3 linked regions of the Nothobranchius furzeri genome follow. Each later gene encodes a partner of the first gene's protein in a complex. Links are inferred from orthologs where the notes say so. Each region holds a gene or a part of one and is shown on either strand. Other genes may lie near its edges.

What was found.
Region 2: odad4 (region 1) and odad3 share a complex: the UniProt entries of both Homo sapiens proteins name them as parts of the outer dynein arm-docking complex. The link is inferred for Nothobranchius furzeri from reciprocal best matches to the Homo sapiens genes ODAD4 and ODAD3.
Region 3: odad4 (region 1) and clxn share a complex: the UniProt entries of both Homo sapiens proteins name them as parts of the outer dynein arm-docking complex. The link is inferred for Nothobranchius furzeri from reciprocal best matches to the Homo sapiens genes ODAD4 and CLXN.

Annotation. Positions count from the first base shown.
Region 1 is NC_091745.1:16,041,456-16,045,778, reverse strand, and holds the start of odad4 (outer dynein arm-docking complex subunit 4), read left to right. Parts: upstream 1-1,496; 5' UTR 1,497-1,661; coding exon 1,662-1,775; intron 1,776-1,846; coding exon 1,847-1,978; intron 1,979-2,050; coding exon 2,051-2,201; intron 2,202-2,646; coding exon 2,647-2,687; intron 2,688-3,287; coding exon 3,288-3,390; intron 3,391-3,486; coding exon 3,487-3,675; intron 3,676-3,743; coding exon 3,744-3,951; intron 3,952-4,023; coding exon 4,024-4,110; intron 4,111-4,184; coding exon 4,185-4,323. UniProt on the Homo sapiens protein: Component of the outer dynein arm-docking complex (ODA-DC) that mediates outer dynein arms (ODA) binding onto the doublet microtubule. Plays an essential role for the assembly of ODA-DC and for the docking of ODA in ciliary axoneme.
Region 2 is NC_091746.1:25,114,274-25,117,813, reverse strand, and holds part of odad3 (coiled-coil domain-containing protein 151), read left to right. Parts: intron 1-451; coding exon 452-577; intron 578-665; coding exon 666-788; intron 789-924; coding exon 925-1,074; intron 1,075-1,176; coding exon 1,177-1,337; intron 1,338-1,460; coding exon 1,461-1,617; intron 1,618-1,685; coding exon 1,686-1,835; intron 1,836-3,540. UniProt on the Homo sapiens protein: Component of the outer dynein arm-docking complex (ODA-DC) that mediates outer dynein arms (ODA) binding onto the doublet microtubule. Involved in mediating assembly of both ODAs and their axonemal docking complex onto ciliary microtubules.
Region 3 is NC_091743.1:68,489,222-68,493,399, reverse strand, and holds clxn (calaxin), read left to right. Parts: upstream 1-1,376; 5' UTR 1,377-1,561; coding exon 1,562-1,634; intron 1,635-1,753; coding exon 1,754-1,912; intron 1,913-2,975; coding exon 2,976-3,080; intron 3,081-3,157; coding exon 3,158-3,309; intron 3,310-3,393; coding exon 3,394-3,498; intron 3,499-3,582; coding exon 3,583-3,630; 3' UTR 3,631-3,861; downstream 3,862-4,178. UniProt on the Homo sapiens protein: Component of the outer dynein arm-docking complex (ODA-DC) that mediates outer dynein arms (ODA) binding onto the doublet microtubule. Seems to regulate the assembly of both ODAs and their axonemal docking complex onto ciliary microtubules.

The sequences.
Region 1 (4,323 bases):
ATGTATATTTATTGAAAGTTTGCCGTCATATGAAACCAATGTAAGATAAAGGTGTGTCTGAAAATGATCTGATATTGAGCCCTTTTTTTAAGTCAAATTGCAGGAAGAAGATTGATTTACTGGTTCATCATTACTGTTTTATGCTGCTTGTTTGCAGACTGATTCAGGGCACCCAATATCACTCAGATCTGTAGATGGACAAGAGAACAGGAGTAAGATCATAATGTTCTGTGTTGGCTGCTGCCTTGGTCAGCCGTGCTCTGTGGAAGGACGGAAACCTCGAAATTTTCAGTTACTTCCTGGTGAAGAAAAGAATTATGTCCTCATTTGCCCTCAGTTTTAGCCCCCACTATCTAAAACGTTCCAGCTGTGTCAATAAAGTTGGCCATCTCTGGTTTCCATGGTAAGTTTCTGTGTTTTTATTGACATTCCAATATGGTTTAAGACTATTAACAAATGGACAGGATAGTTGGTTCTGTAAAAAGCATGAAAGCTGGTAAAAAGAGTTGTGCGTGTGTGAAGCCACTAGCACATTTACAAACTGCGAGTTTGTCCCGAAATGGTTGTTTCGACTACAGCGAAACCAGTTTAAACCTGCATGTAGTGGCGTCCCCTAAGGGTGGCCATGGCCAATCCTAGAGAATTGGTGCGCGCCCCCCCCCCCCCCCCCCCCAAGATCTTTGTTAATAAATAATATCAACTCTTTAATTGCCAATGATGACTAAAGTCACATTTGCATTTTTTTTTACTGTGTGGGCGTCGTAACGAGCCCCCGCACCGTGAGAGCAAACATTTCAACTCTAAAGCTGATCTTCATCCGCGTACGTCATGCGTCACGTGATCAGGAAGCAGAACATCCATGTGTTAGGAGATCGTTTTGGGGCGCTGCTGTAAAAAAAAGTGAGGCACGAACCGGAAAAGCTTCTGCCGATCACAATTCAACAACGGATAATGAAAGAACGGATAACGCTCGAAAGGCGCAGATCTTTATGTAAGAGGTGAGTCTCCTCTTTGTTTTGTTAGTTTTGGCGCTGACATCATCCTGGCGCGCAACGTTCTGTGACTCTTAAATAAACCAAAAACGCTGAAAAATTCTGGCAGCGAAGGGCTTTTCTTGTCAGGAAAAAGCTGGCAGCGAATGAGTAAATGCTCACTCAAACCATAAATTAATTTTATTCAAGACATAAATGTAAAATCAAATTATACAATTAATGAGTAAAATCAGAATTTAAAAGATTGTTTCTGCTGCTCACCATAAAAAATAAGTTTATATCTCCATAGTTTTCGGTGAAGACAGCAATACCTAACCATTAAACCACAAAATGAAATTCTAAAATTTTGGAATAACATTTCAAATAACTGAAATGTTTGTGTTTCTCACATTTGAGTTGAATACATGTTTTTAATTAAGGGGGGGGGGGGGGGGGGGATAAAGAGCAATGCATCACCACAGGCTAAACATGATGCTACCCCAACATTTCCCTTGGCACATCTGGCCACCTTTATTTATCCGCGGTCATTTTCTGGGGGCGCCTCTGGACTGCGCATGCCCCTTATCTTCATTGCAGTCCGTCAGGCGTCGCGGTTGCTAGGTTACCATCCAGCGGAAGCTAAAGTTGCTGTGGACTGAGCTCGTCTTGGCAAACCTTTAGTGGGCTAAAATGTCAAAGGCATCTAACAAGAATCCTCAGGATTTGTTCCTGACTTTCTTGTCCGAAGGGAAGTGGATGTTCAACAAAGGAGAGTACCATCAAGCTGCTAACAGCTTCACGGCGGTGAGTGACGTTTACTAGCGTGGCGCTCGTTTGCTACTCTTGACTGAAACAACCCTAATCTGGTCGTTCAGGCGCTGAATTTGAGGCCAGGGGATAAGAAATGCCTCATCGGACGGGCTAAATGCTACATGAAGATGGGTAGGTTTGAAAACGTCTTCACAGATGTTGAAGAGACGCTCAAAGACGACAAGTCTTTCATAGAGGTGAGACAACTTTCTCCTTCGTGGTACTGTCCCCTGAGCTGAAACGCTGGATTTGTTCCTGCTTGTTTCCAGGGACTGTACCTGAAGGCAGAGGCTCTATATCACACGGGCAACGTTGAACAGGCGTTGGTGTTTCACAGCAGAGGACTGAAGCTCCAGCCTCATATGCAGAAGTTCAGGCTCGGCGCGCAGTGCGCACAGCAGGCGATAGAGGATACGGCTGGTGGGTCATCTGTGTGGAGGTGTTCTCTGGGCTCAGTGCAGATTGCATAATGATATAATAAAGGGAAAATAGCATTATTTTCCATATTTATTTTATTAAACTATTCATAATGATTTAAAAAGTCACTTTTTCCTACAAGTTTATTTATGACTGAACGACAAATCCAAATAATGTCAAATATTTTAAGAATCAAACTTACAAAGTTACATCTAAAAACTGAAATGTAAATAAAAATGGGATGTTTCAACACTAATTATTCATCCATCCAATTAACCCCCCCCCCCCACACACACACACACACACATGGATAAACATTCAACATTAGCATCAAAGGGACTCCGTTGTTTAGAGGTTCACCTCACCCAGCTTTTTTTATTAACCTGGTAAGAAATAACATTTTTTTTAAAATAAAAACTCTGAATTGTTTGATCTTCTCTGCCTACAGGATCTGAAAAAGACCTTTCCTTCCTGTATAAAGATGAGAGGGTGAGTTCTACATTTTCCTTATTCCCACACCAAATATATATATATATATATATATATATTACTGGTAGTTTTGTAGTTCTGTCTTTAGTTCTGGGTATTTTTCCTCTTGCTGAATTATGGTTGCTGTTGCTCAATATATTTCAATTATTAATATCATAATTACTTTTTTTTATCTCACTCTCATTTTTATTATTACATTACATTTATCTTCTTATTGTCATTTCTTTTCTTTTTTTTTTGAGAAGTAATGTAGTTGAGTAAATAGGCATAAAAGCTAGGCTTCAGCCTACACCTTTTTGGTTACTATAATTGAGATTCTGCATTACTGTGTTCTTTCTTTTTCCTTTTAAATGACCAAAATAAATAAATAAATAAAGTGAACTTAAAGTGCAAAAACCATGAAAAATCTAAACTATTTAGATGAAAGTCGACAATAAAATTCAGAAACCTGGCGTAAAAAGGCCGTGCTTCTTAGTGAACACGGGCCTTGTGCAGCACTGACTAACTGGTTTCTTTGCACATATAGAAACAGCCATAGCAGGTTTTCCTAAGAGCATTGTTAAACCCGTCATTCCTTCCTTTGCCTTTGTTCTGATCAAGAAGAAAAATAATCAGACTCCAAAGACTGACAAGACCAACAAAGCGCTTCTGGGAAAGTTTTACCATGACAAGAAATTCCTTGAGGATCTGATGAAAGATGAAGGTATTAAGCCTTTAATGAGACTCAACGTCGGTCCGCTGTGGCTTTTATTTCACTTTCGATGAATTGTTTATGTTGTGGTCATCTAATGCGCTGCAGAATTGGTTGGGAGTGAGACGATTCATGGCGAACGACTGCAGGACATCATTCAAGACTGCCTCACATCTCTTGATACTTGTGCTAAGTTGTGGAGTCTGGAGAAGCCCGTCGCCCCTCAGCAGCAGAAACGGCGTGGACCTTCTGAGCAGGCTCAGTTTGTGCTGAAAAGCCTGAATGAGATCGACAACGGTAGGACGCGCTCCTGTCGGCTCTCTGCTTTCATTTTTTATTTCTTAACCTTTCTTTTGTATCTTCAGAGCTGACTCGTGGTAATGCAGAGGCTAGTCTGAAGAAGGCAAAACGAGCCATGAGTGTGGTTCAAACTTGGACCACTGAGGACATTCCTAATAAATACGAGCTCCTGGGCAGCCTGCATAGCTACATTGGCAGAGCTTTCTTCATCCTGGGAGATATGGACGAAGCACTGGAGCACCATCGGACAGACCTCCAGTTGGCTGAGCGGTGGTGAGAATGCAGAAAAAATGAGCACAAAAGCATGATTTAGTCCAAATGCTGAGTTATCGTTTTCATCATCAGCAAACTTCCAGAAGCCACGTCCAGGGCTTTGAACAACATGGGTGTAACGTTGGCTCAGACCGGACAGTTTGCACAAGCCGTTGAGTTGTAAGTCAATCAAAGAATCTCCGTAAGCTTTCTGACCAGCCTTAAAACTCTGTTTCATGTTCTTTGTTCTCCAGCTGGGAACAGATGATTCCTTTGGTTGATGACGGGTTGGAAAAGGCCTGGTTGTTTCACAACATCGGCTCCAGCTCCCTGAACATGAAGCAGTATGAAGAAGCCAAACACTACGGGATCCGCTGCCTTGCTGCGGCCGAG
Region 2 (3,540 bases), on another chromosome or scaffold:
CCAGACTAAATAAATGTATTATTCTTTGCAAAGCAAGAATTTGGTCTAGTTCACCAGGCTACTAAAGTGCAAAACTATTGACTACACGTGTCTGCAGCACGATTAGACACGCATTTATATCGTTTATCAGGAAAAAAGTTGATTTGGGGGCGACTTGCTCTTTAAACAGTGTTCCAAAGAATCGAAAAGAAGTAATTGATCATATTTCGACAGGTAAATTATTCCAGTCCAGTGGGGCTTTAACACTAAAGGCAAGTCTTCCCATCTCTTTGAAACATGGGTACAACAAAAGAAACATGCTCATTAAATCTAGTGTTATTAAAACTAGTACACACCAAATACCTTTTAAATTCGATGGAAAATCAAAGAATATACATTTAAAAATAAAAATGAACCACTGAAATCTACGTCTACGATGTGCTGACCCAGAATTGGCATCCTTTTGCTGCAGGATGAGAGTCTGACCTTCCAGGGCCAGCTGGACAGCTTGGAAGCAGAAATCCTGAAGTACAGAAAGGAGCTTCACAGCCTGCAGGTCATGAGGGACGACGCTCAGCTCTCTGAAGAAGCTGCAAAGGTGATCAGCGTTTTCCCTCTCTTCGCTTTGCACAAGCATCCTGGTGAAGCTTTGCATGTCTCATTCTGTCCCCCTGTCTTTCCACCAGGCCGCGTTCCAGCAGCAGGACGAACTGCTGTCCAGAGAGCGTAAGGAGAGGGAGAGAGCAATAACAAGTTACAGGAAAATAGTTGAAGAGCACAAGGCAGAGACTGGAAAAACTGAAAGAAGTGTAAGATGATCGCTGCTTTTAGATGTCTAATTCTGTCCATGGTCTCATAAAATGTGGAATTCAGTAAGTTAGGATGGGATTCAGCTCTGACACTGGTTGTAAACACGTGCTGACATTTAAAACGGGTGGCCTGCAGGTGAAGAGAACACCTCTGCAGCCAGATGAGCTGAGCAGCGAGGCCCAGCACAGCACCACTAGGATCCCCGCTGAGGAGGAGAAGGCCTTTTCTGCTCTGGAGGAGGCCTTCGAACGCATCAAGGAGACCACCGGAGCCACGGACGTGCAGGTACCTGAGATCTGATCTTCAGTAGGGAGCAGATTTCACCTTCTTCTCATCTAAAAACACCTCACGCTGAAGCTGGGATCATTTCTCTGGTTGTTTGTTTAGGAGATAGTGAAGCGCTTCACCTCACAAAAGGAGATGCATGAACATCTGGAGAAGCTGAAGAAAGAGAACGAGGAGGCCCTGCTGCAGCTGAAGGAGCAGAGGGAGCTTCTGATCCAGCGGTTTGAAGAGGAGGAGTATTCTGGAGATGCTAAGCTGTCATGGTGAGACTCACGTTGACCCTATGAGAACCCTGACCAGCTGTTTTTGTTTCTCTGGTTGAAGGAACCCGTGTGTCCTAAGGGTTGTTTTAGACTCTCCTTTTTTTGTCTTTGTGCTTTCATTAGTGAGCAGCAGAAGCTGGAGGAGGCCGAGCTTCAGCTTCAGGCTCACCAGCAGAGGTGTGACTCTGCCAGGGAGCGGCTGGACTGGCTCACAACAACCCTCAGTACCGTTACAGCAGGAGTGGAGCACCTGGCAGAGAAACTGCAGCACATCACTCTGGTAAGACACCTGCTCACGCTCGCACACACAGCATACCTGCAGTCTTTCTGTCACCGTTCCCGTTCCAGAGCGCGGGCAGAGTTACTGCGCAGCAGCCAGACTCCGAGGAGGCTGTGCTGGAGCTTCTGGCCCAGTGCGAGCTACAGCTGCAGCTGCTGCAGAAGGAGTTTGAGGGGAAAGATCTGACTGCTATCATGAAGGAGATGGGAGAAGACGAGGTGAGAAAAAGCTTCAGTACACTCTAGCCATCACATCTGGAGCTCGACAGGATCGAACACAGATTTGACGAGCTGCTGTAAAGCAGATGTTTTGTTATTTAATAACCCCTCACATAACAATTATGACCCAGAAGATGCTTTACATTCATTTATTTCAAACTCTGTCATCACAGTTATACACCGTCTGGAGGTTAGGGACAATATTTAGGCATCAAAAGCTTTTTAGTTTCAGTTAGATCTCCAATCCAATCCAATCCAATTTTATTTATAAAGCGCATTCACAAGGCATTACAACCAAACAAGGCGCTGTACACTAAAAATGTTAGTTAATCAAACCGGCGGTATACAAACATGTCGAACACAGATAAAAGATAAAAAGGAAATACAACAAAATTCCCAAAAGCTAACAGCTAAAAATCAATAAGACACAGGGTGAATAAAAATTAGAAAAACATTTAAAAAAGAACCTCAATATAGTATGGAAGTTGATATTGTGAAGTCCATTTTTAAACAATGCAGATGTAAGTGAGGTTCATAATTATGTGGTATAAGCTAGGTTGAAGTAGTGAGTTTTCAGGCGTGATTTAAAAATGCTAGCTGTTGGTGCTAGCCTCACTAGCAGTGGTAATGCGTTCCACAGCTTCGGTGCACAGACAGAGAAAGCCCTTTCTCCACGGCTTTGTAAACGAGCATTCGGAACAGCTAGGAGGAGCTTATCTTCAGACCTGAGAGCATGCGGCGAGTTGTAGTAATGGACAAGTTCACACAGATATGGAGGAGCTTGATGGTTCAAGGATTTGTAAGTCAGAAGCATAATTTTGAAGTTTATCCTGAACTGCACGGGCAACCAGTGGAGAGATTTCAGAATTGGAGAAATGTGTTGTCTTCTGTCAGCTCCAGTCAGCAACCTAGCTGCTGAATTCTGGACCAGTTGAAGTCTAGAGAGAGCTGCTTTACTGATGCCGTATAAGCAGGAGTTAGAGTAATCCAGCCTAGAGGTGATGAAAGTGTGGACCACAGATTTCAGAAGACCGACACTCAGGATGTGCTTTAGTTTTGAGATGCGTCTTAGTTGGAAAAAACATGATTTAACTGTGTTATTGACCTGGACATCCATCTTCAGAGCCTGGTCCATTTTTACTCCAAGGTTGGAGATTACAGAGGATACATTAGGTGAGAGATAGTTGAGGTCAGGTTGATGAGTCACCGTGGTACTGTTAGGACTGAAAACGATTAAGTCAGTTTTGGAGTCATTGAGATGGAGGAAGTTATCAGCTAGCCATTGCTTGACCTCAAGGATACAATCAGACAGAACTTTCGTTGATTGAGTTGGCTTAAATGAAAAATAGATTTGACAGTCATCAGCGTAAAGATGGTATGAGACAGCGTGCTTTCTGAAAATGGCTCCTAAGGGCAGTATATAGAGGTTGAACAGTAACGGGCCGAGAATTGAACCTTGTGGGACACCCCAACGTAGAGGCTGTGACTCGGATGAACAGCCATCCAACATGACCCTAGCAGACCTGTTACAAAAGTATGACCTAAACCAGTGGTTCCCAAACTTATTTAGCCGTGCACCCCCTTCTATGTCCCGACCATATATATATATATATCAGATGTCAAGCTAAACAGAAAGGGTTAAAATAATTCCCCATCACTTTCATTTTTTAAATAGTAAATAATAAGCATTCGATACCATTACAAT
Region 3 (4,178 bases), on another chromosome or scaffold:
CACACATGCAGTTAAACACTTGTTCAAAGGCACATCTTGCTCTGCACCACAACCGGCCCTTGAGCCAAGATAGTTCATGCTTAACTGTGACAGAAACAAAAAGTCTCCCTCATCTGCTGACTTGTCACGAAGAGAAAGCACAGCTCTATGTCAGAAGATGTTTGCTGGAGCATCCTGCTGTGTCTTGTCTGAGGTACTGACCCAAACCCACACCTAACTGCAGCAGAAACAAGACAAAGGCAGTCTGTCTCGAAGAGGTTTGCAAACAGAAATGTTTTTGCCGATTGTTGCTGGAATACAGCCATTGAACATGACGTAGAGCCACACATTTCTCAGGGAGCATTTGCAGGCATTTGTGTGATTCACACACCAACGCTATCTTCAGCTTATCTGATCATGGCAGCCAGGGCAGAGAAGTCCAAACATCCTTCTCACCAGCCACACACACACTCACATATATATAGTGCTCAGCATAAATGAGTACACTCCTTATAAAAGTGTGAATTTAATCAGTAGCACTTTTTTGTTACTGCTGCCAGCCTTTTTATAGTCACCTGTCTGCTGGACACCTCTTAAATGAATCATTAGACTCACCTGTGATTTAATGCCTGTTAATTTAAATTTTGTACTCTTAAGTGTGGCTTTTCTCTGAAGACTATAATTGAGGTGCTCATTTTTGCAACATAGGCCTGAATGAATTTGTTAGGAAAATCACGTTTTTGTGTGAGCAAATGAACAAATCTTGTTTGCAATCAATGGCCCACATTACTTTGTGGTATGGTATCTCATAGAAAATTTTGATTCTGAAAGGAATCTAAAGGTTTTCTGACAAATGAACTTGGGGTACTCATTTATGCTGAACACTGTATGCACCATCGACGTATATACGGTATACACACACACACATGCACGCAACCAAACAGAAACCACAAAACAGCTAAAATATATTCTCTGCAAGACACTTAATGATTTTAATTCAGAGAAGTAAAAGTGAAAAAATAAAAAAGAAAGAGAACTTGAAAAGCATGAAACATAAAAAAGAAAAGAAAAAAAATCAAGAAGTTCTTGCAAATAAATAAATGATAACATAAGCTAAACTAATAATTTTCAAAGCAATAGAACTAAATGGTCCCCGGGTTATGTACCGGTAATTTGTGTTTTGCCATCTCTTGGGGGCGAGCCTACAGTTTTCTTGTTTGCATGTCTAATCCTGCAAACATTCTCCAGTTGTTGATTAAGAATTCTCTAATGCCTGCCTTTTATTCTATTTATTATGTTTTTATTTATTCTCATATGCTTTGTCATTAGTTTTATTTCCTTTTATTTGCTCAAGTGTGATTTTCTTTTGAATTACCTGCGAGACATCTCGGCCAGCTTATGTTTGCAATGATACTCGAACATTTTACCTGGTAAAATAAAGGACGTACAAACAACTGTGATTGTACGAGAGCTGCTGTGTTGATGTTACCATAGAAACGCTCCATCACCTCCATCACTATATATGTCGATGCATCACCTTTGTAGTTTATCTCGGAGCACGTGACGAACTCTCTCCTCCAACATGGACTTGACTGCTATGAACAAGAGAAGGATTCGTGAATTAGCAAAAACAATCACTGAAAAGGATAAACACTGTGAGTAGAACTTTTTTAAACTTCTTTTGACCCCGCTGTTTCGGTTTGTTGACGGAAGAAGCTAGTGGCAGCTAGCTAGCAGCTACACAACGTAAACAAGGATTATCTGTGTTTGCTAGTCAAGAAGAAGGAGACGGAGAGCCTGATCCTGGAGTTTTATGAGCTTCTAGGGCAGAAGGTTAAGCCGGGCACAGAGGAACACGGAGTGGACCGATTGAAGTTCAAAGTCTACCTCCACGACATGTTTAGGTTGTCCAAGGAGAAGATGACAGATGGAAGTAGGTATCATTCCAGAATGCAGTCCCTTTTCAAAAGGGATGCTGTCTATTTATCCTTAGACTGCCTTTTAATTATTCCCAACACATTTTTATTTGGTAAATGTTTTAATTGAAACTGGTCAGACATTTTATTTGAATGTTGAATTAGGTTATTATTAAATAGGATTGGACCCATTTGTTCTGTTAGGGTTAAAGTTATAATCTGAAAAGACCTTTGTGTTCAACTGACAGGTGTATGTGAGATTAACAGGACATTTTGACATTTCTGTGACATTTTTCCTTTTAGTTGATACTTGTAGCTCTTTGAACAGCCTCGGTTAGGAGAAACAGAGACCAGTTTTGATTCTACAAAGATCATTCTGACTGGGACCAGTTCCAATTTGTTTCTGCTGTCTTAAACAGTGGTGGCTGGTGAAATTTTATTTGTTTTTTTAGTAAGACACATTTTTGCAAGACAGTTTTCAGATGTGCTAACCACATGACTAGGGGACACCAAATTAGCATTCTTATGAGTCACACAACTTTTACCAAGTCCACGACTACTTTTGGCAACAAAGTTGTTCAATATTCACCAATATATGCAAACTGCACACTTTAAGCCATACTATGCACGTTTTTCATATGTGCTAACATGACCGTTTACAATGTTAATGAAATGTCATTCAGACCAACAGGTGAGTCATTTTTTTTGTTTGGAACTGTTCGACAGAAATCCTCCTCTAAAGATCTGAACTACTTTAAATTGAAAACTTGGCAATAATCTATAATGGATAAATAAATCTGATATATTTTGCAGCCTGTTTAAAACACATTTATCCTGAGACAATGGCTAACGCAAAACTTTATTGTAAAACAAACAGACAGACAAAAACCTGCTAAAGACACATTTATTGAAGTGACTTTGCAGCAGATGTTTTAACACGAATCAAATTGAAAACACAGAATTAAAAAGAGCAGGTTTTTTTATAACTGTTGGTAATTTTAACGAGTATTAGAAAATTTAACTCTTTAGTACTAAAGGGTAAGTATTTTTTAGAAAACTGTGTTTTTAGAGTGTTTTCAGTTTTCAGGGTTTTTGACAAAGACAGAGACGGCTTCCTCAGTTTGGAAGAGTGGCTGAAGGGAATGACAGTGTTTCTTCGTGGGACCTTGGAAGAAAAAATAAAGTGTAAGCTCCCCCCGTCTCTCTAACCCACGCCCACAAACTCAAATCTAGACTCACAGCCTGATTCTTTTTTCATTCAGATGCATTTTCTGTGTACGATCTGAACGAGGATGGGGAAATGAGCAGAGAGGAAATGTTCTACTTCCTGAAGGACACCCTCCCTGGACTGCCCCCAGAGGAGAACCTTGAGGAAGCAGTAAAATTTCTCGTGGAGATCCCGATGAAGAGGATGGTAAGAGATGTTCAACATCTGTTAGTTTCAACGTGCTCTCATTAGTTAGGAGCTAAAATAATTCTTGCATCCTCTCACCCACAGGACACTAATAAAGATGGACTCGTGTCTTTGGAGGAGTTTGAAGCAGCCGTAAAAAAGGAGAATTTGCTGCTTGAGGCCTTTGGACCCTGCCTTCCAGACACCATGGTGATCACAAGTTAGAGGCTGCTTACTGCTTCAGAATCAGCAACTTAAACTGTGTAATTTACAGTCTGCTTTCTTACCTTTCAGACAACCAGGAAGTTCCAACAGCGGGCTTTTCAGAAGCGCCTGGAATAACCTTCGTTCCTACACGAATTTAACCTTCTGATCTTATGATCAGAAGACATTCATTTAGTCATTTATTTAGTCTGGCTTGCCAGGCTAAGCTGTACCACCTTGAGTCACGTAAAACTGCGACTCAACTAATACACGTGACAGCCCCATCTAGTGGACAACTTTTGTTTCTGCGCATAGCCGCATACCTGTAGTTATCGTCCATTTATCGTTATCAAGGTGAAATCCTCAATATATCGTGATATTAATTTTAGGCCACATCGCCCAGCCCTAGTAGCAACCTAATTTTCATTTCTAGTTTTTAAAATGTTCATCTTTAGTTTTTTGTTTTAATAAATTTGTTAATGTTGTTTTACCTTAATTTGAACTACTACAATTTTTTCATGTTCTTGAGGTTCGACTAGTCTGAAATAGCCAACAACAACAGCAGAAATCTCACTAAATAAAACTTAGAGTATTTTAAGTATATTTCAAGAGTCTTTTTCAATCTGTAACCCCTGTTTGGGGTCACAGATTGTGGGGGTGGTTTGTACACTGATGAACCAACGTAC